Ovis aries: one gene and its partners. The protein of the gene in region 2 purifies or fractionates together with the protein of the main gene of each other region. This does not show direct contact. Links are inferred from orthologs where the notes say so. Each region holds a gene or a part of one and is shown on either strand. Other genes may lie near its edges.

Region 1 (7,948 bases), on a different chromosome or scaffold from region 2:
TGGCAGCTAAAATAACCAGTTGCTTCCTTTTTTTTTTTTTTTTTTTTTTTGAGGCTGTTTTGCACCAGTCTGAATCCTGACGTAAGCAAAATCTCTCAAAAAAAACATTGCCCGCTTTCAAAGCGTTTAGCGCAGACCTGCAGACCGACGGACAGACGGACTGACTGACCCACCCGTGTTTGGAGTAGGGAGGGCAGCGCTGACACGTTGGCCGAACGAAGTTTGCGGGACTTATCCCCTCAGTGCGCGCCCTAAGAAATGAGCCACCTGTGATCCGCGCCTGGTGGCCCTTGGGGCCTCCGGTCTTCTGAAGCCTCCGGTACAGAAAACGCGACTCCTTGCCTTGGCCCACCAGGCTTTTACGTCTACTGTCTGTTATTGGCAGCTTCTGTAGGCACCCTGGAGATAACTGACATTTTAATTAATTGACTTTTTAGTGTTAGCATTATTATGGGGTGGGCCCCTCGCTCAGTTCTCCACCTTCCTTTCTCATCGCTCAGAGACTTTCGGGGGAATTATATTTTAGTGGTTTTTTTTTTTTTTTTTAAGTTATTGTGTGTTTAATTCCATCCTCGAAGGTATGATGCTGCAGGCCCGGTGTGGCTCTGTTCGCCTGCTGGGGCCGGAGGGAGACCCTCCGCCCGGCAAGCCTGGGGGCAAACGTTTTCACAGAGCGCGCCCTGGGTTTCCTCGGGACTAAGCAGGAGGAAGCAAAGGGTTTTTCGAGATAGACCAACAGGAAACACATTGACGGAAATGTTGCCATAGCCCACGGGGTGGCTTTAACTGGCCGCCCCCGCCGGTCGGGTGTGAAATCAGAGGGGGGCCTGCGCCCTCCGGCCAGGATTGGAAGCTCCACTGACACCCGTCGCCTGAGCCGGAGGGCATTCCTGGTCGCCAGCTCGCCGGCCCCTGTCAGCGACGCTTTGGCTAGTGTGACAGACCCTCTCCCCCCAACATAAAGCACACACGGATCTTTGGAAAGTTTGGTTCACCAAGGGAGAGGACCCCTCTGCAGGTCTAGGCTAATAAAGTTAGTTGTGTATACATTCCAAGAGCGCCTGGTTAAAGAGGTTATGGTATTTTTTAAGCTCAGTCACTATAGTCGATGTTCTTTGGGGGATCAAAATGATTGTATCTGGCTCTGGGTGTGATGGTTGTGTGGGTCTGTGGGCATATGAATGTGACCTTCGTGCATGTGCAGTGTAGGTGTATGCCTTTGGATGTTCCTGTGTCTCCGGGTGTGATGTGTATTAGTGGGAGCCTGTTGGGTCCGTGGCTCAACGGGTATATGTGAATATGTCTGATTGAGTGCCCAGCAGCCTCCCTTCCCCTTATTTGTCACCCCCCCCCCCCCCCCCCCCACCCCCCGCCCAGTGCAGGCTGGTCTACGGGTGGGCCGGGCTGCTTCAGGGCCGCTTCTAACCAAGACGCTCTGGCCCGCAGGCAAACCCCTGCTCTGGAGCCCTTTCTTGCAGAGACCTCTGCATAAAAGGAAAGGAGGCCAGGTGAGGTTCTCCAATGACCAGACCATCGAGCTGGAGAAGAAGTTTGAGACCCAGAAATACCTCTCCCCGCCCGAGAGGAAGCGGCTGGCCAAGATGCTGCAGCTTAGCGAGAGGCAGGTGAGTCGCCTCGCGGGCCGCGGGCCGGGGAGTCTCCTGGGGCCGGGGTCTCCGGGGCAGAAGGGAGACAGTGAGGCCACCGGCAGCTGTTTGACTCCTGAACTTCTCCTCGCCTTCCCAGGTCCCTCGGGATTCTGGACTTGTGGCAAGTTTTCTTTCTGTCTTTCTGTAGGTCAAAACCTGGTTTCAGAATCGACGGGCTAAATGGAGAAGACTAAAACAGGTATTGAAATGGTTCTGTTTCTATGGAAATAAATATTTTTACCATGTTATTTCAATGCGGGGCCTGTTGTAGGTTGTATGCAAAAGTCATTTGAGGGACTATTTAACCTCTTCACCTTGATTAAAAAGGCAAATAGTCCTGCTGAAATTCAGGATGAGTTGTTCAGGCGGCAGTAATGCTAAAAGCACCTAATGCAGCTCCTATATCAATTATGCTTGGGTTTTCACACACTGGCTAGTAAAACTCCCAGCTAATTGTTTTATAAACCCCATATGTTGTTTATCTAATTAACGCAGGAAAGATAAAGTAATTGACAGTAAATGACTTAAGCAGTTATCTTTGGGAGAAAATTGTTTCTTTTATTTACACAGCCATAATAAAACCAGGCAGAGCTCAAGGGTAAATATAAGGAAATAAACACCTTTAAGTCTTGTTTGCACTGTTTTTTAGAAGAATTAAATATCAAAGAGTTTAAAAATTATTTTCCTTCTAATTCTAGCTCTTAAAATGAATATAAAAACAGCAAGAGACTACCCAAGCCTGTTTGAAAAGTAGCTTAAACTTTCTAACAGTCTTTCTTCCAGTGACCTTGTTACGTAATATGTGATAAAAAGTAAAGGCTAATTCAGTTTTTAAAGAAGCTCTGTTGACTTAGAGCTAAAGATTTGTTTTTGATGTTCTAATCTGATATTTTCTAAGTTATCTGACAAATGCGGAAGTTTTCACTTACCAGTTTATATAGTTTATGATAAATAAAATTTTTTTGAAATGAATAGGGAAATTGAAAGCAGTTTGCATTTTCAAATTTAGCAATCATAATTTTTTCATTAAAAACAATGTTACAAAAAACACTTTAAAACAAAATAAAATTCCCATAATTTCATTATTCTAACGCAGTTTTTAAAATTTCGAGTTTCCTCTCAATATCTGAGCCTTGTAACTTACCACATAATTATAAGCTTGGTAAATCTATTATTCTATAGTCTTGTTTTAGGAAAAAAAAAACTTTAGCAGTATATCATAGTTTTCCATAGTATTTATGTGCATTTTAGACAAAAACAGGATTAAAAATTTATTAACTTATTTAGTTCTTGGTCAAAGGTAGTTTATCAAGGACTTTAAAAATAGTCATTCCTGTGTAATAAGGGAATATTTTCAAGAAATTTCCTCCAGATTTTAAGTAAATTATAGTTATTTCCCTTTTCAGTTGGCAACATTCTTCCAATTCTGCATTTTTCTTAGCCATGATTGTAACTTGCTATATATGTTTATGTGTGTATATGTTTGTAAACTTAGTCCAGAAAATGCATAAAAAACAATTCAGTCTAGTAATTTTGAAACTTTTATCCTTAATGCATTATTTAGCATTCATATTTTTTAAGTGTCTAAAAGACTTTTGTCAATTTAAATATTTGAAGAATATAGTGTGTATCTGTTGTGATCTGATTTCTTTTTCTTCCTAAACTTTTAAGAACCTTGATACCATAGGTCTGGGCTGGAGTTAAGTATTCGTTTGACATAATACATTTAGTTATATTTGTGGTTAGTTGTTTTTATCTGGCAAGAAGAGTATAATTGTTCTCTGATATGACAGGAAGTTTACCTTCCAAGTTAGAAAGAAGCATAAATATGTATTTTCTGAATAAAATATTATACCTGAAAGCACTTGATAAATTAAAAATTAAAAAAGATGATGGAAGATGAAAAAACATTTGATTTATATCTCTCATTTCTCCGTATTTCATCATCTGACCAATCTCCATTTCATCCTCTTCTTTTAGGAGAACCCTCAAAACAATAAAAAAGAAGAACTGGAAAGTTTGGACAGTTCTTGCGACCAGAGGCAAGATTTGCCTAGTGAACAGAATAAAGGTGCTTTGGATAGCTCTCAGTGTTCACCCTCCCCTGTCTCCCAGGAAGACCTTGAATCAGAGATTTCAGAGGATTCTGATCAGGAAGTGGACATCGAGGGCGATAAAGGCTATTTTAATGCTGGATGATGACCACTGACATTGGTGTGTTTGGAAAACTGGGATTTGCTACAGGAAATCTCCTTGGATGAACCTGAAAACTGTATGAGAGAATCAATTTTCTGGTATTCTGGAAATCTAAAATATTTGGTGCACTGACTAAATAACAAACTCACATTGAAACCTTATTTTTGACTTAAATAGTTTTATATACCGATTTTAGATTGTATGATAAAGGGACTCTTCCCTGATTAAATTCACCCCCTTTTTTTAAAAAAATTGTTTTTTCTATTTATAAAAAGTAATTTTGAACTTTTTGGTTAAATTTTTAAGTTATAACTTTAAAGATTTTAATAGGAGCTTCTTGAATGACTTTTCTATAATCAGTTTCTACATCCTACTGAATGGAAAAGCAAAGGAGCATCCCAGATCCAGAGGTGTGCCTTGGAAAGGGGACCCACAATTCAGGCAGCCTTGGAATATTTTAAAGAAAATGTTACTTACTTATACATTACATTCTTATAGTATTGCCTTAACTCCAAAGCTGTTTCTGAGTTCTTATCTGGGGGATGTATGTATCTTTTTGTCAAAAAGATATACACAGTTGATAATCTTTAAATGCTTCTTTTGCGCTATCACTTAGTACCTGTTTGACCAAGGTGTTAAGGGGATAGTACAGTCCAGTTCAAGCAGAGAAACTGACTCATCAGTGACCAAATTTAATCACAGATGAACTAGAAGTAGCAGGTTAATTAAATGTAAGTAGATTGTAGATATGTTTTATATTAAACAGTGTTTATAATGTGTGTATATATAATTGTTCACTGTAAAAAAAAAATGGCCAAAATGTGTGTTTTTTTTAAAAATGAGTAACTTGTCTATAAAATAAATACGTCGGTGGGACGACTGACCTCGTTGAACCTCTCATTCTTGGATTTGACCAAACCTACCCCTTATCTTACAGCGCCTGGGGTGCTTGGCTGGGCCCTGGGGCTGGGGCGGGGTCGGGTGCAGGGGCGTCTGGAGCGTCTGGCGGTGTGTCTCTCGGCTTCTGGCGTCTCGGGAAGGCGGTTCAGGGCGGCGACCGGTGGCGAGCACCTGGAAGGTAGATGCGGGCCTTTCCCACATCTGGGTTCGCTGGGGGCTGAGTGTGAGTGTGTCTGGAGCAGCGGGGAAGGCCCGCTGCGGACCCGAGCCCTGGACGCGCCAGGCGGCGGGGAGAGGAGCTGCGCCGCCGCCGCAGCGCAGCGCCATCGATTCACCTTGGCTCGCGGGCCGGCTTGGCTCGCGGGGCCGGCGGGGCGCCGTCCTTGACCTGCCTGAGTCAACATGCGTCATCCCTTGGCGGCCGAGTCCAGGTTGGGGGTCCGCTTAGAGGGCTGGGGCCCCTGGCCGGTAGGCGGGATGGGGGAAAAGCAGTGTGTGCCAAGACAGCGGTTCTCACTCTTCAGTGAGCTTCAGAATCTCCCGCGGACCTTGTTGGGGCTCGTTGCCCACCCCATCCCCAGACTTTCTGATTTGAGTAGGTCTCGGATGGGTCAGGGAATTTGCGCTCTAACAAGTACCCAGGTGTGTCCAAGCTGCTGGTCAGGGGTTCTAAGGCACTTCTTGTGTGGAAGAAGCAGGTGAAACCCGTGATCCCCGCCTCGCCCTTTCTCCTCCCCTCACCCTTGAGGGAGCAGGAGGCTGGCAGCTTTGAGGAGCAGGGAAAGGGAAGATGGGGGGCATTTCGATGGTGGAGAAGGGAGCAGGGCTGAAGAAGAGGTATTGTGAGCTGGGGAGGAAGGAAGTGCTGAGCTGAGGGTGGGTATGGGGCTGAGAAGAAGGGTGGGCAGAGGTTTCTGACTGGCCCAGGTATTGCCAGTTCAGCTGCTCGCCTAACTGAGCCACCAGGTTCCTGACATTCCAGGAAAATGATGAGCGGAGATCTGAGGGGAGAGGCCAGAAATCTCTTCCTCTAGCCTGATGCTCCTTGGAGGTCTCTAGTTTTTACGGACTTGGATGCCTCTGGCCTGAGGTCCTGTGAAGGAGTGACTCTGCCCCTGGCCTGGCTTGACCAGGGCTGTGGCCCCCCAGACATGAGCACTCAGGTGAAGAGAGTGAAAAAGTCAGTGCATTTAGGGATGTTACACCTTCTTGCCTCCTGAGATTGCAGGAAGGCCCTTGGAATTACCTGTGAATTTTAATTTCTGAGAAAATTTGTCCTGGGTTCTGAAGCAGACAGGTGTGCACTGGCCTGGAAGCTTAAGGATTTCGGTGAGAGATTTAGTTCTTGGCCTCAGTTTCTTCATCTGTTGAATGAAGATGGTCTAGTTGACCTACCTGACCTCTACCAGCCCTTCCTCACCCTCCCAATTCCCAACTCAGTTCTCAGTGTTGGAGTCCAGAGTAGACATCCAGCCAGAGGGTCTCCTTTCTCCTCAGCAGTCAGGTTCCAGGCTCCCTGACCCTGCCTGACAGGTTTCATCAAAGTTTCAAAGGTCATAGTCTCATCTGAAAAGAGGACTGACTGTATCAGAGTTTGGGGAGAACAAGAGGCTTGTGGGCCTAATATTGAATTAGAGCAGTCCTGAAATCTGTGTGTGTGTGTGTGTTTCACTCCTGGAGATAACCTCTGGTTAATATTTATTCTTGAGAATAACTATCGTGACTATCAAGCTGAGAAATAAAGGCTTATGTATTGATTGACACTAGAAAAACTGAGAAGTGAAGCTCATTTTAAAGTAGACAATCCCTGACACCAGGCCGTTTTCCAGTTTAAAGCTATTCCCAGTTCTCTGAAGGTTGCTCCTATTCTGAATCTGAGTATGTCTTTAACAGTCCAGAGTGTGTTACGTGAAGGAAGTACAGTATTTTCAGGACACAGGTTGGCATTAACTATTTTCTAAAGTGTCCCACTGCAGATTGCCAGTGAATATTTACAAATTCTTCCTACAATCCAGGCATTTTTCATTTGTTTGTCTTTTGGCTATTTCATGTTGAAGCAGCATGTATGACCTTTACAGCACAACTCCTGTCTTGTTTTTAACTCTTTTTATCAGCAGATTCAACTTGAAAACGGTTATCATTTAGCAGAAAGACAAACAGAAAAGCACATTTTGTAAGCAAAACGTTAATGATTGGAAGAATTGCCCTAATTTCATCATGACTGTGTGTGATTAATCCCCTGGGTCATGTACTTATACTTTAAGTTATTCAGCTTGTCAGTCTTTGATATTCAGAACCCTTCCTAACTTAATAGGATATTGATTTTGTTGGATGATGTACTTTGACTCTTTAAACAACATCACTTTTAGGGATGACTAGCTTGCTGTGTAGTATTTTATTTAGAGAACTGTTGCATAAGTTTTCTTTTTCTTACTTTTTATGGTTTTCTCAGGGTGAAAGCTGATAAGACATCTTGTGGGAAAAGAGGAAACCATCTCTGATAGTGAAAGTACCTATTCTCTTTCAACACTTCTGGCAACCTTTTTTTTTTTGGTGCGGTTTCATTGCTGTGAATATTCATTTTAGTTAATGGGGGCAGGGCAGAGATTTAAGAAAATGTATCTAGTCTTGGGGGAAATGCATTTAGCTGGGGACAGAACACACTTACCAAAATTCTCATTCCAGTTATACTACCTTGTAGAAGGCGGCAGGAACTCAAAAACTGACACTTTTGATTTTTTTTTTTAATCTAATGATCAATGAGCCTCTAAATCTGTGACTGGAGGTGATATTTATGTGAATTCTGACAACATGACACATAATTTGGAAAACCACACAATCACTCAGGATGCTTCTAATTAGTTAGGAGTTCAGTATCTTGTAGTAAAAACAACCAGATATTGTACTAACGTTTACTTTTCATCTCTTTGGGTTTCATGAAATTCCAGCTGGAATCTCTCTAACCTGATTTTTATCCCTTGATACGTTTTTCTTGATACTGTTGTTGAATCCAAATGAGAAACACTTTGGAAATTCCTCGCACCTACCAAAATATCTGACATCTAAACTCTACAGAGCCGATGTAGTCTACCCCTTCAGATGTAGCTGTAGGGATCCCTTCTCAGGAATCTTACCCAAGCGGATAAGAGCAGGAATGGAAGTAAGGCAGTCGAATCCCCTCCACCTCCCTTGCTGGCTGGGGG
Region 2 (8,103 bases):
GAAAAAGATATATGAATTCCCATGATTAGTACAGCTTTACAAGAGCTTAAGATACAGAAGCAACTTAAATGTTCATCAAGGAGTGAAAAAAGAAAATATGTATGTATGTATGAATGTGTATATTCAATGGATTATTCAGTCATAAAAGAGAAGGAAATTTTGCTATTTCCAACATGGATGGACCATAGGACTTTGTAACAAGTTAAATAAATCACACACTGGACAGGAAAAGCAAATACTATATGATTTTGCTTATACATGAAATCTAAAAAAAACTTTAAAAAAGGAGAAAAACCCACCCCAAGCTCACTGATACAGAGAACAGACTGGTGGTTCCCAGAGGCAAAGGGGTGAGGAAATGCATGAAGGGGGTCAAGTGGAACAAACTTCCAGTTATAAAATAAATCATGGGGATGCAACGTACAACAGAGTAAATACAGTTCATAACACTGCACTGCAAATGTGAAAGTTGTGAAGAGCCTAAATCTTAAAAGCGCTCATTATAAGAAAATATATTATAAGTATGTATTGTGATAGATGTTGATTATGATCATTTCACAATACATACAAATACTGAATCACTGTGCTGTACATTTGAAATTGTTACACTTCAACTGAAAATAATAAAATTCCATTCCATTAAAAAAAAATTGCAGCCATTAAAGATTTATTCTAGAAAATGACTGGATGACTAAGCAAAAATATCTGTACAATAACGTTCTTAAATTTGGAAAACTGGAAACATCATAAGTGCCTATCAACAGTTCTAGAATGTGGTTTACGAATCCCCTTAGGCATCTTAAGACCCTTTCAGGAGCACTGATGAGTAAAAACTATTTCATAAAAGTCCTAAGATATTTTATTTTTCACTGTGTTAACATGTTCACTGATGATGCAAAAACAACAGTAAACCTAGCAGTGATGTACATAACAAGAATCATACAGTGGCACCCATGTCTACCATTTGTCACTGTTCCTGTATTATAATCAACTCTCAGAAGAGTAACTGCCAGTTTCTTGTAAGAATGCCACTGATGAAGCAGTAATAAAATACTTGTTTTATTAAATTTCAATCTGTGCACATGTTTTTTCTGCACAAAAAATACTTCTGCATACCAAAGACAATGCTTAGGCATTGAGTTGTGAGGAGAACTAGTCGCTTTCTCAAAGAACACCACTTTTACTTGGAAGAATAGGCTGATCAATCATGGTTACGTCTTGAAAAATGAACAGAGTGAGCATGTAGCTAAAATTTAAGCTTTCAGGAGAAAAATCAGAATTTTGGAAAGCCTGCAGGTGTCACTGAGCATGACAATTTAACAAAACTTGGGTATATTTCTGGGACATTTAGTAATGATAATGTTATTGTTTTGATATCATATAATAAAAAATGCCAATATTAAGGTCTACAGACTCACTGAACCAGTATTTTCTAAATGACCAGTGGTATTCATGAGTGAAGAAGGATATATATATTTCAAATGCAAGACAGATCAATGGATTTTAAAGCAACAGAGTAGAAAAAAGTTCTTAGATGTGGTTTCAGATTCTTTATTGCAACTAACCTGCAAGAAACCTAGTATCAAAGGAAGGAGATATTCATAATTATAAAAGGCCATTAAAATTTCTCCTTTTCCAACCATGGTATATTTGAGGTCATATTTTATCCTTAAACTTCCTCTGAAACAACGTATCTCCAAAGACTTGAAAATGCAGAACCAGCTATGAAAACCTAGCTGATTTCTATTAAGCCAGGCACTTGAACATATTTACAAAAACGCTGTTCTTCTCATTATGTATTTTTTATTTTGAATAAATTTTTTCCATAAAAATCATTTACATTAAAATGCAATGGGTTAAGTACATATGTAATTTTATATTTTTTGAGATTTTCTAATATAGCAAATGAAAATAGATGAAAATCTATATAACCTGTAAAACACTGTGGAATCCTCAATAATTTTTAAGAATGTAAAGGGGTCATGAGCCCAAAGAAGTGAGATTTAAATAATTACAATAAATAATTTTAAAAATATAATAAACATAATATATACATGCAAGAAGACTTCTAGGCCACTATTAAATGTGTTAATTGTGTGGGTTAAAAAAAAAAAAGGATAAATATGTGGGTAAAATTCTCTTAAGACTGACATGAAACCCAGAAACCATGGAGGAAAGTTGGCATTTGATTATATGAAAATAAAAAAACCTTTAAAATAACACAACTCTTTAGACAATGTTAAAAGACAAATGATTTGGAAGTGTATTTCAACCTAATCCCCCCTTGGATCGGTTAGCATCCCTAATGTACAATGCTTAGAAATAAACTTGAAAAGATAACCAAAAAGAAAATAACAGACAATAAGAACTGAACAGACTTCTCACAGGTAAAAACACAAATAAGCAATTGTCTTGAACAAAACTGTTTGAAACTTCAATAGAAGAAATGCACATTCAAAACAATAAGACATTGTTTTCGCAAATTAGGCTAGAACCAACCTGACAGGCAATTAAATTTAAAAGACTGACGGTACCAGTTGGCAAGGATGTAGAAATCAGTAAGTCTAAGCAGATAAAGGAGGATAATTTGGCAGTGTCTACAAAGGTAGATAATGAGCAGTCTTAAACCTAAGAACTCGGAAATTTTACCATATAGATATACCACTATATTCACACAAGTGCAAAAAGAAAAAAAAAAAAAGGATGCATACATTAGTACTGTTTGTAAATTTAAAAACTCTGCATACTCATTAATGTAAGCCTGATAAAATATGACTGTATATTCATTTAAAACAAAGCTGTGGATTAAAATAAAGACTTAATAGTATGGCAATCTGCAATCTGTATAGATTAAAAAAGTATATATATGTACATTGAAAGGTTTTGGAAAAATACAAACCAAATTTTTAACAGACTATTTTGGGGAGTGGAGCAAAACAAAATGAGGAAGAAGGTATCAGGGAAAAACAGAGAACTTAAAACTTTGTATACTTAGAGCCTCAATGATTTAATCGTTCTTATAATACGATAGTGGTTTTTATTTTAAAGAAAACATAATTCCTTACAAAATTATTTACAAAAAGTAAATAATGAAGAAATCACCAAAATCAGAACCAAAAATGTCTTAGAACAGTTTTCAATGTGATGTTATTTTACACAAGAAATAAGAAATTATAGAGAAATTAAAATCTTCACAGACTTCATTTTAGGATTTAATCAGTTTGTTCACTGATAAGGGCACCTTTCAGGAATCTCAGATTTCATCTTAAGCTATGACGGATATATGCCTTGATCTCCCACAATAACAGCAACATGAAGAACTGTGTTCACAGAGAGAAAACAGTGAGCTTTTTATATGATACCACTGAAAAGATGGGGGGAAAATACTTTAAAGGTTTTAGTACTGCTGCTAGGATGAACTGTATAAAACTGCCACTCATCAATTGTCCAACTTAGTATTAGTTTGGCACAATCTTTCCTGAGAAAGAATTTTTTCCTTTTATCAACTATTCGACCTTCGGTATTTCACACATTGGCTGACAATCCACAGTATCTAGAGAACTGACTTGTTCCTCCCTGGAGGGTACGCTGAATCACCCACCTTCTATGAAAAAACTACTAAAGCATATTTGGACTATTACTTCAGAAGGTCTACAATGATAATGAAGAAAAAAAAAGGACATAAAGGAACAACACACTTTTCAGATAAATGAAACCTAATTATAGACTTATAGGGTCTGGGAGAGGGGGAATGAAAGGAATTACAGATCCTTGAAAGTTAATTTATCTAATTTACTTTCCTCCAGATTCTTACAATGTTTCTAAGTGTTCCCACCATCAGCTCTCAGTGAATTAAAGTTAAGTTTTATCAGATAAACAAGAAAGATAATTAAGTAAAAGCACATACTGGGAAGTGGTAGGGTGGAGATAGGAAAAAGCATATACTGAAGTATTAAACTACTACATTGCAACTATGAAAACTTAACTCATCCTAAACTCTCTTTTCCTCTTCTAAACTTCTCTTAAAATACAAACCAACCAATATCCAGACTCCACATACCCTAGGTTCTTTCTTCTTCACAGACCATCTCAACTTTATCCTTCAAATTGTCTATTCCTGCTCTATACATTTGTATATTTCTATTCACTCTTCAAACTACACCAATCTTTTTCTATCATCTACTCTACTAACTTTCTCCAGTGTTAGCAAAGACTTATTGTTCAATCCAATGAATATTTGACCTTTTTGGGGCATATATGCTGTACCTTGTCCTTAAACCATTTTCTTGGTTTCCATGACTAACACTCTGCCCTAGTTTATGCAGTATATATGTCTATACTCTTCCACAGGCATTCTTAAAAAATTTTATTAAAGTACAGTTGATTTACAATGTTATGGTAATTTCTGCTGTACAGCAAAGTGACTTAGCTATACATCTGTATATATATTTTCATATTCTTCTCCATTATGGTTTATCATAGGATATTAACTATATAGTCCTCTGGGCTATACAGTAGGACCTTGTTGTTTATCCACTCTCTCTATATAATAATTTGCATCTGTTAACTCCAAACTACCAGTTCATCCCTGCCCAACCCCCTCTCTCTTTGCACCACGTCTGTTATCTTCATAGCCATTCTTACCCAAAAAAAATCCCCATGTGCTAATATTCCAAGCCTCTGTTGTGAGTCAGATTCACTTAAGAGAACTCATTTACTCCTATGGTTTCAACTACCATTCAAAGTTACACTTCCTGAGCGCAAGATTCACACATAAAACTGCTTGCCAGATGTGGGTCATCAAAGTGAAAATGGAATCCTCAACCTAACATACCTAAAACCAGTCTATTCTAACCTTCCCCTCCAAACCTGTCCCATTCACCATTTATGTTGTTGCCCAAGTCAAAAAATCTATGTGTCAGAAAGCTTACCTGTTCTGTAAAGGATGTTTAATATAGTGTTCTGGGTTAGCAACCTCCTGATTGGATTCTGTTTTCTCTTCTTCTGTAGGCGGGGGATTTGGAGTAGGGGTGGTTTCCTAGTGGAAAATAATTAAACATTATAAACTTCTTAACATGAAGAAATAACATTAAGAAATTTATTTGTACATTTTTATTGAAATATAGTTAATTTACAATGTTGTGAAAACTTAATCTCTATGACAGCAATACTCTAAATAAATCTTAACCAATACTGTCCATAACATTTTTTTTAAAGAATGAATTATAGGAGAAGCATTTGATAAAGTAGACCACTAGCCAAACTCTAAGAAAAGCACTAGACTCTTCTAGCATCTCTTCATTAAGAGCAAAATGTTTCTCAAATTTAAAATATATATTGTTATCTTCCAATTACAAATTTAACATAAGATTGTTAGACACCATGGAAAATAGGAGAATGAAGTATCTTTAACATCCCATTAAAGTGCTGTGCATGGCAGGGGTGGTTAGTGGGAAGGGCCAGTTCAACTAAAGTTTGGAGAGCATAATTAACTATATTACATGACACACAAAAAATCTTTATAAAATGAGTAAGGCAATACTACACAGATCCTTGCCTTCATGTCACACTGTTATGATATATGGTAACTTTATAAAGTTGAGCAACTTCTGTCATTTTCAAACGATCCTAAGGAAAAAAGCTGGACACCAGCTTGAATTGAAATCTTCTAAATCGGGAAAGGTGTACATCAAGGCTGTATATTGCCATCTTGCTTATTTAACTTATATGCAGAGTACATCATGAGAAACACCAGGCTGGATAAGTACAGCTGGAATCAAGATTGCTGGGAGAAATATCAGTAACTTCAGATATGCAGATGACACCACCCTTATGGCAGAAAGTGAAGAACTAAAGAGCCTCTTGATGAAAGTGAAAGAGGAGAGTTTAAAAGTTGGCTTGAAACTCAACATTCAGAAAAATAAGGTCATGGCATCCAGTCCCATCACTTCATGGCAAACAGATGTGGAAACAGCAAGAGACTTTATTTTTCTGGGCTCCAAAATCACTGCAGATGGTAACTGCAGCCATGAAATTAAAAGATGCTTGCTCCTTGAAAGAGAAGTTATGACCAACCTACACAGCATATTAAAAAGCAAAGACATTCCTTTGCCAACAAAGGTCCGTCTAGTCAAGGCTATCGTTTTTCCAGTGGTCATGGATGTGAGAGTTGGACTATAAAGAAAGCTGAGCGCCAAAGAATTGATGCTTTTGAACTGCTGGAGAAGACTTGAGAGTCCCTTGGACTGCAAGGAGATCCAACCAGTCCATCCTAAAGGAGATCAGTCCTGAATATTCACTGGAAGGACTGATGCTGAAGCTGAAACTCCAATACTTTGGCCACCTGATGTGGAGAACTGACTCATTTGAAAAGACCCTAATGCTGGGAAAGGTTGAAGGCGGGAGAAGGGGATGACAGAGGATGAAATGGTTGGATGGCATCACCGACTCAATGGACATGAGTCTGAGTAGACTCCGGGAGTTGGTGATGGACAGAGGCCTGGCGTGCTGCAGTCCATGGGGTCGCAAAAAGTTGGACACAACTGAGCTACTGAACTGAACTGAAACACAGTTATCATCATCATTTAAAAATGTCATGGAAAAATGGAGCCTGAGAATAATGCATATTCCCCACATTAACCTATGCAACTCTTCACCCTACTGTAAATTGGCACCAACAAAAAGATTGCTAAGAAAAGGGACCAGAAGCTGAAACAAGTTGATACAAAAGAAGAGGGCACTGCAACAAGTGTCTGAATATCAGATTTAAACTGAACCAGAAAAACAATAAAGATACATATTCACATTAACATTTTCTAAATCAGAGATGTATGATCTAAAAGATTTCAAAGCAGACAGATGATACATATTTTACAAAATAAAATTCATTTTTCCAATCAAAAAGACACCTCCAGGAACTACTTTTTACTAGCCTATGAAGTTACTCATAGCAAGGGCTTTATCTCGATTCTGCTCACAATTGTAATGCCAATGATGACAATGCTACACCTAACAGAAACTTACTGGCTTGATTCCTTAAATTTTAAATGTTTACAGAGTAGTTAAGGCCCTAAAATTTACATATAGTAGCCAATGCCTTAATATCACCATTTTTACCAGCATTTTCTCATCACAACACATTTAAATCTTCAAACAGATGATCATTACCAAATGCCATTCTTCACTAGCTTAAAATTAATGATGGCCTCCAAACACGGGCAGTCTGAGTGAATAGAGAAACTAGGAAACAATTAGGGACTGATAAGGCAGGTGGGTTTCAGGAACAGCGTACCAGAGAAAAGGGAGCTGCAGGAGTGAGACTCAAAAATCTATGTATAAATGTCTCAAATCCTTGGCTGGGACTCCTAAACTGAGATGTTCAGAGTACAACTCTGGGTGGCCTAGACGAGAACAGCTGAGCCAAGACTTCAGAGGCTGAACAGCATTTGGAAGACTAAGTTCAGATCCAGCCAGAGTGGATGGTTGAAAATCCTTAGTTTTCAGAAGAAATCTATATGCCTAGCAAATTCTAAAAGTAATCCCTGACAGGATCAAGGTAATCTGATAAATTAACTGCCCCACAAGAACTGAACTCTATTCTTCACAGGAAAAGTCTGAGCCTCTATGATTATTATCAACAATACAAAGCAAACAATGGAACAATGCAAAAAAAATCTTCTATAGCAACTGATGATCAAGAGATTTAACTGTCTATAGAAAGAGACCTAGATAACATACACATGATCCAGATAACAGGGCTAGCAGACAGTCTTGATTTTGTTTAGTTGTTGCGACTCACTCTCTTGTGACCCCATGGACTGCAGCCCACCAGGCTCCTCTGTCCATGAGATTCCCCAAGCAAGAATACTAGAGTGGGTTGCCATTCCCTGGTTGAGGAACTGTGATCCCACATGCATACAGCATGGCAAAAAACTTTTTTAAAAAAAGATACTCTTCCTCTCAAAGTTAAGGAATACTGCAAATTCTCTTATTTACCTAAGGACAATGATTAGTAAGATGTACTCATGAATTCAAAATCCTCATTACAATCCACAATTGTACAATTCCACAGTGTTTACATCTTTTATCAATACCTCAGCAGCA
Region 3 (8,103 bases), on a different chromosome or scaffold from region 2:
CAATAACCACTACCAATTATTGACTGCTCCCTTTGAAGCAGGAACTGGAAAACACTTTGTGTGCATTATTTTAGTGAATCCACCAAATAAGACCCTCAGAAGTAGGTCTCATCATATTCCCCAGGATATGATGAGGCCAGTGGGGCTCACGGGAGGGAAGTAACTTGCCCAAGGTGGCAGAGCAGGGATCTGGATGCAGGACTGTCTGGCTTCCAAATGAGGGCTCTGAATCACTCTGCTTAATGGCAGCTGTCATGTGGGAGGCCGTTCCCAAGTCTACTTCTCATTCCCTGAGCCCCTTGGCAACAGCAGCAGCCTCCTGGCAGGATAATGCCTTCCTCTTTGCATGTGGCAACCAGGACATCGCTGGCACCTAAGTAACCTCATTAAAATAAAAGCCCAAAGGGCTCGACAACAATTCAGTCATCTTACGTCCTTTCACCACTGCGCCTTGCCAAAAGTTAAGGAACAAATTGGATCAGCAGGAGCAAAAGAGAGAAACAAGGAGATTAAGTGACATATAAAGGAATCAGCACAAGCTGAATGCTCCTCAGCAGGGCTAAATGAAGCACAATAAAACTGTAATACAGCTATGTTACAAAGATTCAGCAGTCAATAGGAATGAGATAGATACATATGTGCATTGTTAAGTAAAAAAAAAAAAAAGCTAGAAAATAAAATATACAGTAATATGTCATGTTTACAAACACATACAATAGAGTAGATATCAGCCATTAGAAGCAGTCTCAGCACAGTACTGGAGGGCAAGAGCCCTGGGGCCAGACCACCTGATTACAAATCCTGGCTCCACCACTAAGGACCTGCACAAACTATAGAGAGTAAATGACCTAACTTTCTCTATGCCTTGAGTTTCTCACTTATAAAATAGAAGCAATGATAGAATTTGTGGAAACTAATGAGTTAACGTAGGTAAAGTGCTTAAAATAGCATCTGGCAGAGTTAGTGATTAATAAATAGAGACTATGACAGTTACATCACCAGAGCAGTTTAGGTAGCACTGCAAATGCACAGAAAATGACCTGGAAGAACAGCACCAAACTCTGAACAGTTATTACGAGACTCTAAGGGGAGACGTGGGAAATGCAGGTAATAAAGCGGGCTTTGGTCTTAAGCCCGCTTTATCACCTCCATTTCCCACGTCTCCCCTTTGAGTCACGTAATAATGCTTGAATCCTTATAGAGAGGTACTTGTGTATATCTGTGCATTTACTTATGTACTTGTAAACTAAACATAAATTAATGATAAACCCGAAAGGATTCCAGGATACCAAAGGCACTCACGAGCTCCCAACTTCCAGGTATGGGTACCAGAGCTATCAACAGGACACGAGAAAGCAGGAGGGAGGCAGCACAGGAGTCCCCTGGGTCCCTGCCACAGAAGCAGCCCTGCATGCCACACCCCAATCCCCCTGTAAGTCAAGCCAGCAGTGGCCGCTCCCATCTCACCTTCCAGGCTGGCATCCCGTGGTACTGGAGCTCTCCGTCCCTGATGAAGTTGTAGAGAGGTGAGTCGGGGACGGAGTTCAGGTCCCCACACAGGACGATGGGGCAGTGGCTGCCGTCTGACAGCCTGGCCACCTTGTCCACTTCGGCCAGGAGAATGGCCATCTGGGCCAGCTTGACATCGCCCCGCCGTGGGTTGTACAGGACGTGGGTATTTGCCACACATAAGGGGGCCACCGAGACTTGCCCCAGACCTTCTGGGACCAGTGGCTGCAGCAGCAACACTAAGCCCACGTTGTCCCGATTGAGGAGCTCCAAGCCAGGCCGAAAGTACTCCACGGGGCTGGCGCAGAGCAGACGGAATCTCGTGGGCTTGTAGCAGACAGCACAGCCATCTGTCTTACACCCGGTCCTCCTCTTGTAGAAACAGGTAAAGCCTGCAAGGAACACCCGGCCAAGGAGATCGGTCAGAGTCCTTGAACCCTGCATCCCTCCAACCAATGCCAGCAGCCCAGGTGTGTGTGCCCAGTGCACCGCTCCTGCTGCTCAACACGGGGGAGTCTGTGTCCTGACACATCCCTGGGTTCTGCAGAGGTTCCCTTACAGCGGTAACCAGATGGCTGTGCAGCTAGAAGGGGAAGGAGGGACAGAAGGGTGTGATAGGAAAAGCATGGACTCCGGGGTAAGACAAGTTGGAGTCCAGGCTCCACAAGCTATGAGCTTTTTTATTTATAGCTTTGTGACCTTTGAGCTAGTCAGTCAAATTTTCTGAATCTCAGTCTCCTCCCTATAAAACGGGGGTAATAATTTCAGCCTCAGAGAGTTGGTAAATAGATGTAAATAAATGGCAATGTATGTCAGAACCACTTTAAAACTTCAGGACTCTTGTTTTTCTTCTTACTCCACACGAGGGAGCTAGCTCACAGGTGAGAGGGTTCACTGAGATGAAAGAAGAGATGGTGTGTTCAATAGAGGGCAGACAGGGTGGAAGGAAAAAAGCCTGGCACACGTGCCAAGGAGCGGCATTACCCATCATTCTCAGAGAGGGCTCCAGCTGCTCCCAGTAATGATCTTCCTGGACTTCCTGGAGACACAAGATCTGGGGAAACGACACAGAGACCAGTCACTCCAGGGTAACGGAGGGCACCGCAGTGTGACTCCCACCCCAGGAGCGGACGCTGAAGCCACGTGGGAAGCTGCTGTGGGTCTCAGGCTGGGCCACACTGACACTTCCTCTGGGGGCTGACTCTTCCCAGACTGCCACTCCAGCAAAGAACAGGCCCCGAGTGAAGCTGGATTTTCCTGCTCCTTGAATCCCTCAAGTCTTCTTCCCTGCCTAAAGGTGCTAGCGAGGGTGTACCTATGGAGAGGCATCTTAGTATCTGCCCAAAACTCATTTATACCAGGCAGCAAGTTCCCATCCTAAGCCGGACTCTAATCACATGAACAACTGTGGGTGAACTCATTTCTCTAAGGGCACAGGGAAACAGCCAGGGTCCGAAGCAAATGCAAGATGGCACACCCCCATCCATCCCACCCTCCCCGCCCGCCCCCGCCTTCGCTTACATCCGGGTCCCAGTGCTGGAATTCCTGCATGAGATTCGCAAAGCGATAGTTCCAGTTGAGGATGTCTGGGTGGCAATGCAAATAGAGCTCGGAGCTCTGCTGCATCAGGTCCTGGGCCAGGATATTATAGGACATCAGAGTGAACTGGAACTGAGGGCCATCCCCTGCTTCCAGGCCCTGAACATCTGGCTGAGTGGAGAAATCCTCCCATTCTCGCCACAAGATTTCTGCAAAGGGGTTGGGAAGAAGAGGTCCATGGTTGAGTCCATGCTATCCACAGGGCCTACCATCTCTACTCTGGCCCAGCGATACTGTGACAAAGTTCCCTTTCTCATTTTCCCTGTCATCCGTCCCTTTCTGTGGTGATCTGAACAACACTCTAAGGACAGCCTCAGACCAGAGAGTAAGCGCCACAAAGCCAGAGACAATCTTGGCCTGTTCACCACTGTATCCCTAGTACCTGGCTTAGTACCTGGTACTTAGTCCACTAAAATTCACTAAACATGGCCAGCAACTCCTCACTTTTGATAAAGCCATTGGTCTCCAGGGAATCACTCAGATGAATGCGCTTAACAGTCATCTGAGATTAAAGACATTTCTAGAGTAGTCTCAGCCTTGGCTGTTTTCTGACCTCTACACCTGGAAGGGCCTACAGAACCAGAAACTGTAATGTGTCCCCTATATCCCCTAGAGCAGGGAGCTAGCTGTAGAGTGGACTGCAAACCTATGTGAGGCACAGCCTCATTCTCCAGATTTTCATGGAAGCCCAATATGTAACACAGATAAAAATGGAGTTATCCTGTTTGGGGCAGAGAAAGCGAAATCCCTGAGAGCTCTCCACCCTTACCCCAGGTTCCTCCAGACAACCAGTAACACAGAGAATGAGAGCTAGGGTCTGCTTTCAGTTCTACCACTACCTAGCTATGTGACTTTCGGCATGTCCTGCCACCTCTCCGAGCCTTGATGACTCCATCTCAAAAGGCCACAGGGCTAGATGAAATGACCTCTAAGGCCCCTCTGGATTTGCCGCTGCAAGTCTCAGAAAATCAGAATGTGGCGGCAGAGCTCTACACAAAAGGGCCTTCTCTTTAGCAACGGCTTTGCCCACCTCCGAGACGACCGCTGCCCCGGCTCGCTCAACCAGCTGTCAAGACTCACCATGATATGGGATTTCCACTGGGGGAGGCTGAAGCTGCCCCAGACCCTCAAAGGGCCAGACGGCAGCCTCTTCCTGGGGCACACGCTCCGGTGCGATGCTCCAGGCCACCATCGCAGGGTCCTCATCCCACTGTTCTGTGGCCAGCGCACCCATGGGGAGGACGGCACAGTCTGTGTACTGGGGGCCGGTCTGCACGGGCACTGCTGCCCACATTGGGCCCTCGACCTCCGGCAGCAGCTCCTCCTCTCCTAGCACCTCAGGAAAAGGCTCCTCCAGGTTCTCTGCTGCCCGCAGGTCACTCAGCTGCCTGCTGGACCACTTGTCCTCAGGAGCAGCATCCTGTTCTCCAGGATTATCCATCAGGAGGGCCAGGCTGCTCTCGGCGAGTCCCTTATCTACAAGGGGACCATCGCTCACAGTTGACAGCACCTGGCTCGACCCTTCTTCCCGCCACTGCTGCAGCAGGCCCTCACACTCCTCCTGGTCGGGGCCCCGAGGGGCCATGGCAAAGTCGCCTTCTACCTGGGAGGACGAGCTCTTCGCCAGGAGGACATTTTTTCGACATGTGAAGAAAGCATCTAAAAAGAAAGCCAAAATACCATGTTATAAGATGATGGCATCATTCAACTCACACTCCTCTCTCAACTTCTGATATAAGTCTCGTGTGCGTGCATGCTCAGTCGCTTCAGTAGTGTCCGACTCTTTGCAACCCTATGGACTGTAGCCCGCCAGGCTCCTCTGTCCATGGGATTCTCCAGGCAAGAATACTGGAGCAGGTTGCCACGCCCTCCTCCAGGGGATCTTCCTGACCCAGGGACTGAACCTGGGTCTCCTGCACTGCAGGCAGATTCTTTACCACTGAGCCACAAGAAAGCCAGTAAGTCCCATACAAGCAAGAATCATATCCACCGTGCTCACCATTGTATCATCACTGAACCTGCCTGTTTTAGGGTCTGGAACATAATCATCACCAGAGCCAAGTGCTTACTATGTGTCAGGCACTGTTCTAAGGACTTTACAAGTATTAACTAATTTACATGGTAGGGATCTGATAAATACTCTGTGCGTGAATGAAAGAATGGCTATCCCATATAATCGAGAACAGAGATGATCACATATAACCACGCTCCTTTTGTCTGGAGGCTAAGAATCCTATTAACTTCAACTCTCTGGTTCTAAGAGCCACATGACACTGGAACCAGCACTTGACCATAATCATAACTGTGGGTTGTGGCCCAGCACCGAAATGAACAAAACTGTGTGACCTTAGACAATGCCCCTAGTGAGATGGACTTACTCTTGACTGTAAAATGAGGACGAGAGAACTGTGAATTGGATAATCCCCAAGAGCTTTTCTAGTTCTATAAATTTCCCCGTCTATGAATGCATTCCAACAGAAAGTAGACAAAAAGGGTGTCTCAAAATCTGGACAATCTACCTTTTAGCAAAGGCCTGGGGTCCTCTTCTCAAAGCTATTTATTCTACTCATAAATCTTCACAAATATCATTATCAGCTTTCCCATTCCATAGCGCTCTGCTGCTGCTAAGTCGCTTCAGTTGTGTCCAACTCTGTGCGACCCCATAGACGGCAGCCCACCAGGCTCCCCCGTCCCTGGGATTCTCCAGGCAAGAACACTGGAGTGGGTTGCCATTTCCTTCTCCAATGCATGAAAGTGAAAAGTGAAAGTGAAGTGGCTCAGTCGTGTCCGAGTCTTCACAACCCCATGGACTGCAGCCCACCAAGCTCCTCCGTCCATGGGATTTTCCAGGCAAGAGTACTGGAGTGGTGAGCCATTGCCTTCTAGAGGCTGCAAATCAGAAGGTGCCAACAACTCAGCAAGAGATAGCCGCCACCTCTCTGCTACAGCAGCCACAATGACAGCCAACAGGCAAAAGAAAGTAGGTGGGAAAAACTCTAAAATTAGAGGCCCCCAAAATCCAAGCACAGTACTGTGGTGCAGACAAAACATCCCCCAACCAACACACACTAAGTCACTTGTTTATATCACCCAAGTGACATGGATGATGTCCCTCCATCACTGGAGACGCATTTCATCAGTTCCTTTTTTTCAGGCAAGAAAAACTTCAAAATGGCTCAAATGTTGAAAGACACTCTTATTTATGGCCTGTGTGGATTTAGATCCCTCAAACCTCAAAGTGGTGATTCTGCCCTCAAAGAACATTTCCACATCGTCTGGAGGAACAGTGGTCGTCCCAACTGTGGGGACGCTACTGGCATCTAGTGGTTACAGGATAAAGAGATTGTGAGCATCCTGCAGTGAGAGACAGCTCCACAAGGAACTACCAAATATCAATAGTACTGAGAGTGGGAAACTCTGCTTTAAACCTATGTGCTGGGTTGCTGGTTTTAGTCTCAGGGACTCGCTAATTCACTGCCCTTTGAAACATCCTCTATTTATACCAAATGGCAAAAGTTCTTTGATTTATATGTGTGAGGTTACTAGTTTTCAAATTTAGGTTTTGATTGGTGGTGGTTTGTGTTTTTCAGCAGAATTTTCATTCAAGATAGAAAATCTGTAGAAACCAAATACACAAATAGGACTACGTTAATAGGTGTGTACCTATGGATGGGGGGAGGCCCACACCTATGGGTGGGAGGGCAGCCAAAACTCTGGCTACTGGTCAAGAAACCTCTGGACTAGAGGTCACTAAGTATAGGTCACTAAGGCTGCCATTATGAACAGTGGCAAAGCTCAAGAAATAGCAGCAACATGGCTAGAGGAATATGCGATGGTTCTCTGAAAGCAATGCCTTCTGTGGAGTTCCTCATTTCTAAGGAGTATGTATACACAAAACATTCTCGGATTCCTGAACTGAGTGCCTACTATAGTCTGGGTAGTATGTTAGCAGTAGATACAGTGAGCATAACAGACAGCCCTGCCTTCCTGGAGCCTGCATTCTAGTGCGCAGATACAAACATACATGTACATACTTTAAGTGTTTTATATGAAATATGAAGTAACAGATATTACACACACAAAATGTAAAATTCCAAAAAGGAAAAGCGCAGAATGCACACAGCTGGACCTATTTCTAAGAAATAGAAATTACTCTATTCTATTCTAAAACTCCTTCTTAGTCTGTCCTGTCCCCTAAAATGCCAGAGAGAAGTCCAGGAGTGCTGTGCGATCTCCGAGCGGAACGGATGGTCTCTTAAGAACAAGAACCTCGGAAAAGTCAAAGGCCAGGAATGGGGTGCGCGGGCAAACCCCGGCAAAGTTAAACAGTAACTCTTCTCCAGGCCGCCGCTGAGCACTGCCTCCACCCACGACATGTCTAAGCGCACGGAACAACTGTTTCAAAGATGAGGTTTCAACGTGTCTCTGGATTCTGCTGTTTTTCAACCAAACACTCCGCAGAGAGGCAGCTCGGAAAGGCGACTGTGGAGTCGACCCAGGGGAAGACAAAGCAAGTCCAGGTCTTCAGTCCACAGACCCCTAAAGGCCGAAGGGCCCCTGTCCACGGAGAATTCGGGCACTCGCCTCGGCCCCCAAGGGGGCCAACCCTCCCTGACCCCCCGAGAAGTGACTCAGCGGGCCCCGGAGCCTCTCCGCGCCGGCGGGGCCAGAAAGTGGGGGAGAGGGGGGGCTCCGCCCCTCCCCCGGCAGCCTCCACGCTGTAACTGCGGCCCGACGCCTCCAGGCCACCGGCGTGAGGAGGTGGGTGGGGGGGTGCCGCCCACGAGGGTCGCCGGCCAGGCCTGGGCCTCGCGGAGTCCAGGATAAACCGGTCGTGAGGCCGGCCGCGCAACGCACGCCGCCCAAGACCCCGCGGGGGCCCCGCCAAGGCAGGCCCGGAGGCTTGGCACCCGCCCTTCAGGACGCGGGGCCGGTACCTGAGAGGGCGCGGAAAAGGCGCGCGGCCGGCAGCAGCAGGTAACACAGACACGACGC

The links.
Region 1: the proteins of EIF4E (region 2) and HHEX purify together in Homo sapiens (affinity purification with western blotting; 3 studies listed by BioGRID and IntAct, with this or other methods). This does not show direct contact. The link is inferred for Ovis aries from reciprocal best matches to the Homo sapiens genes EIF4E and HHEX.
Region 3: the proteins of EIF4E (region 2) and ANGEL1 purify together in Homo sapiens (affinity purification with mass spectrometry; 3 studies listed by BioGRID and IntAct, counting the BioPlex papers as one, with this or other methods). This does not show direct contact. The link is inferred for Ovis aries from reciprocal best matches to the Homo sapiens genes EIF4E and ANGEL1.

What each region holds. Positions count from the first base shown.
Region 1 is NC_056075.1:13,873,127-13,881,074, forward strand, and holds the end of HHEX (hematopoietically-expressed homeobox protein HHEX), read left to right. Parts: intron 1-1,446; coding exon 1,447-1,625; intron 1,626-1,797; coding exon 1,798-1,848; intron 1,849-3,629; coding exon 3,630-3,848; 3' UTR 3,849-4,728; downstream 4,729-7,948. UniProt on the Homo sapiens protein: Recognizes the DNA sequence 5'-ATTAA-3'. Transcriptional repressor. Activator of WNT-mediated transcription in conjunction with CTNNB1.
Region 2 is NC_056059.1:26,262,988-26,271,090, reverse strand, and holds part of EIF4E (eukaryotic translation initiation factor 4E), read right to left. Parts: intron 5,039-8,103; coding exon 4,932-5,038; intron 1-4,931. UniProt on the Homo sapiens protein: Acts in the cytoplasm to initiate and regulate protein synthesis and is required in the nucleus for export of a subset of mRNAs from the nucleus to the cytoplasm which promotes processes such as RNA capping, processing and splicing.
Region 3 is NC_056060.1:86,229,407-86,237,509, forward strand, and holds part of ANGEL1 (protein angel homolog 1), read right to left. Parts: coding exon of another isoform or gene 8,046-8,103; exon of another isoform or gene 5,628-8,045; intron 4,768-5,627; coding exon 4,189-4,767; intron 3,258-4,188; coding exon 3,031-3,257; intron 2,564-3,030; coding exon 2,494-2,563; intron 1,902-2,493; coding exon 1,468-1,901; intron 1-1,467.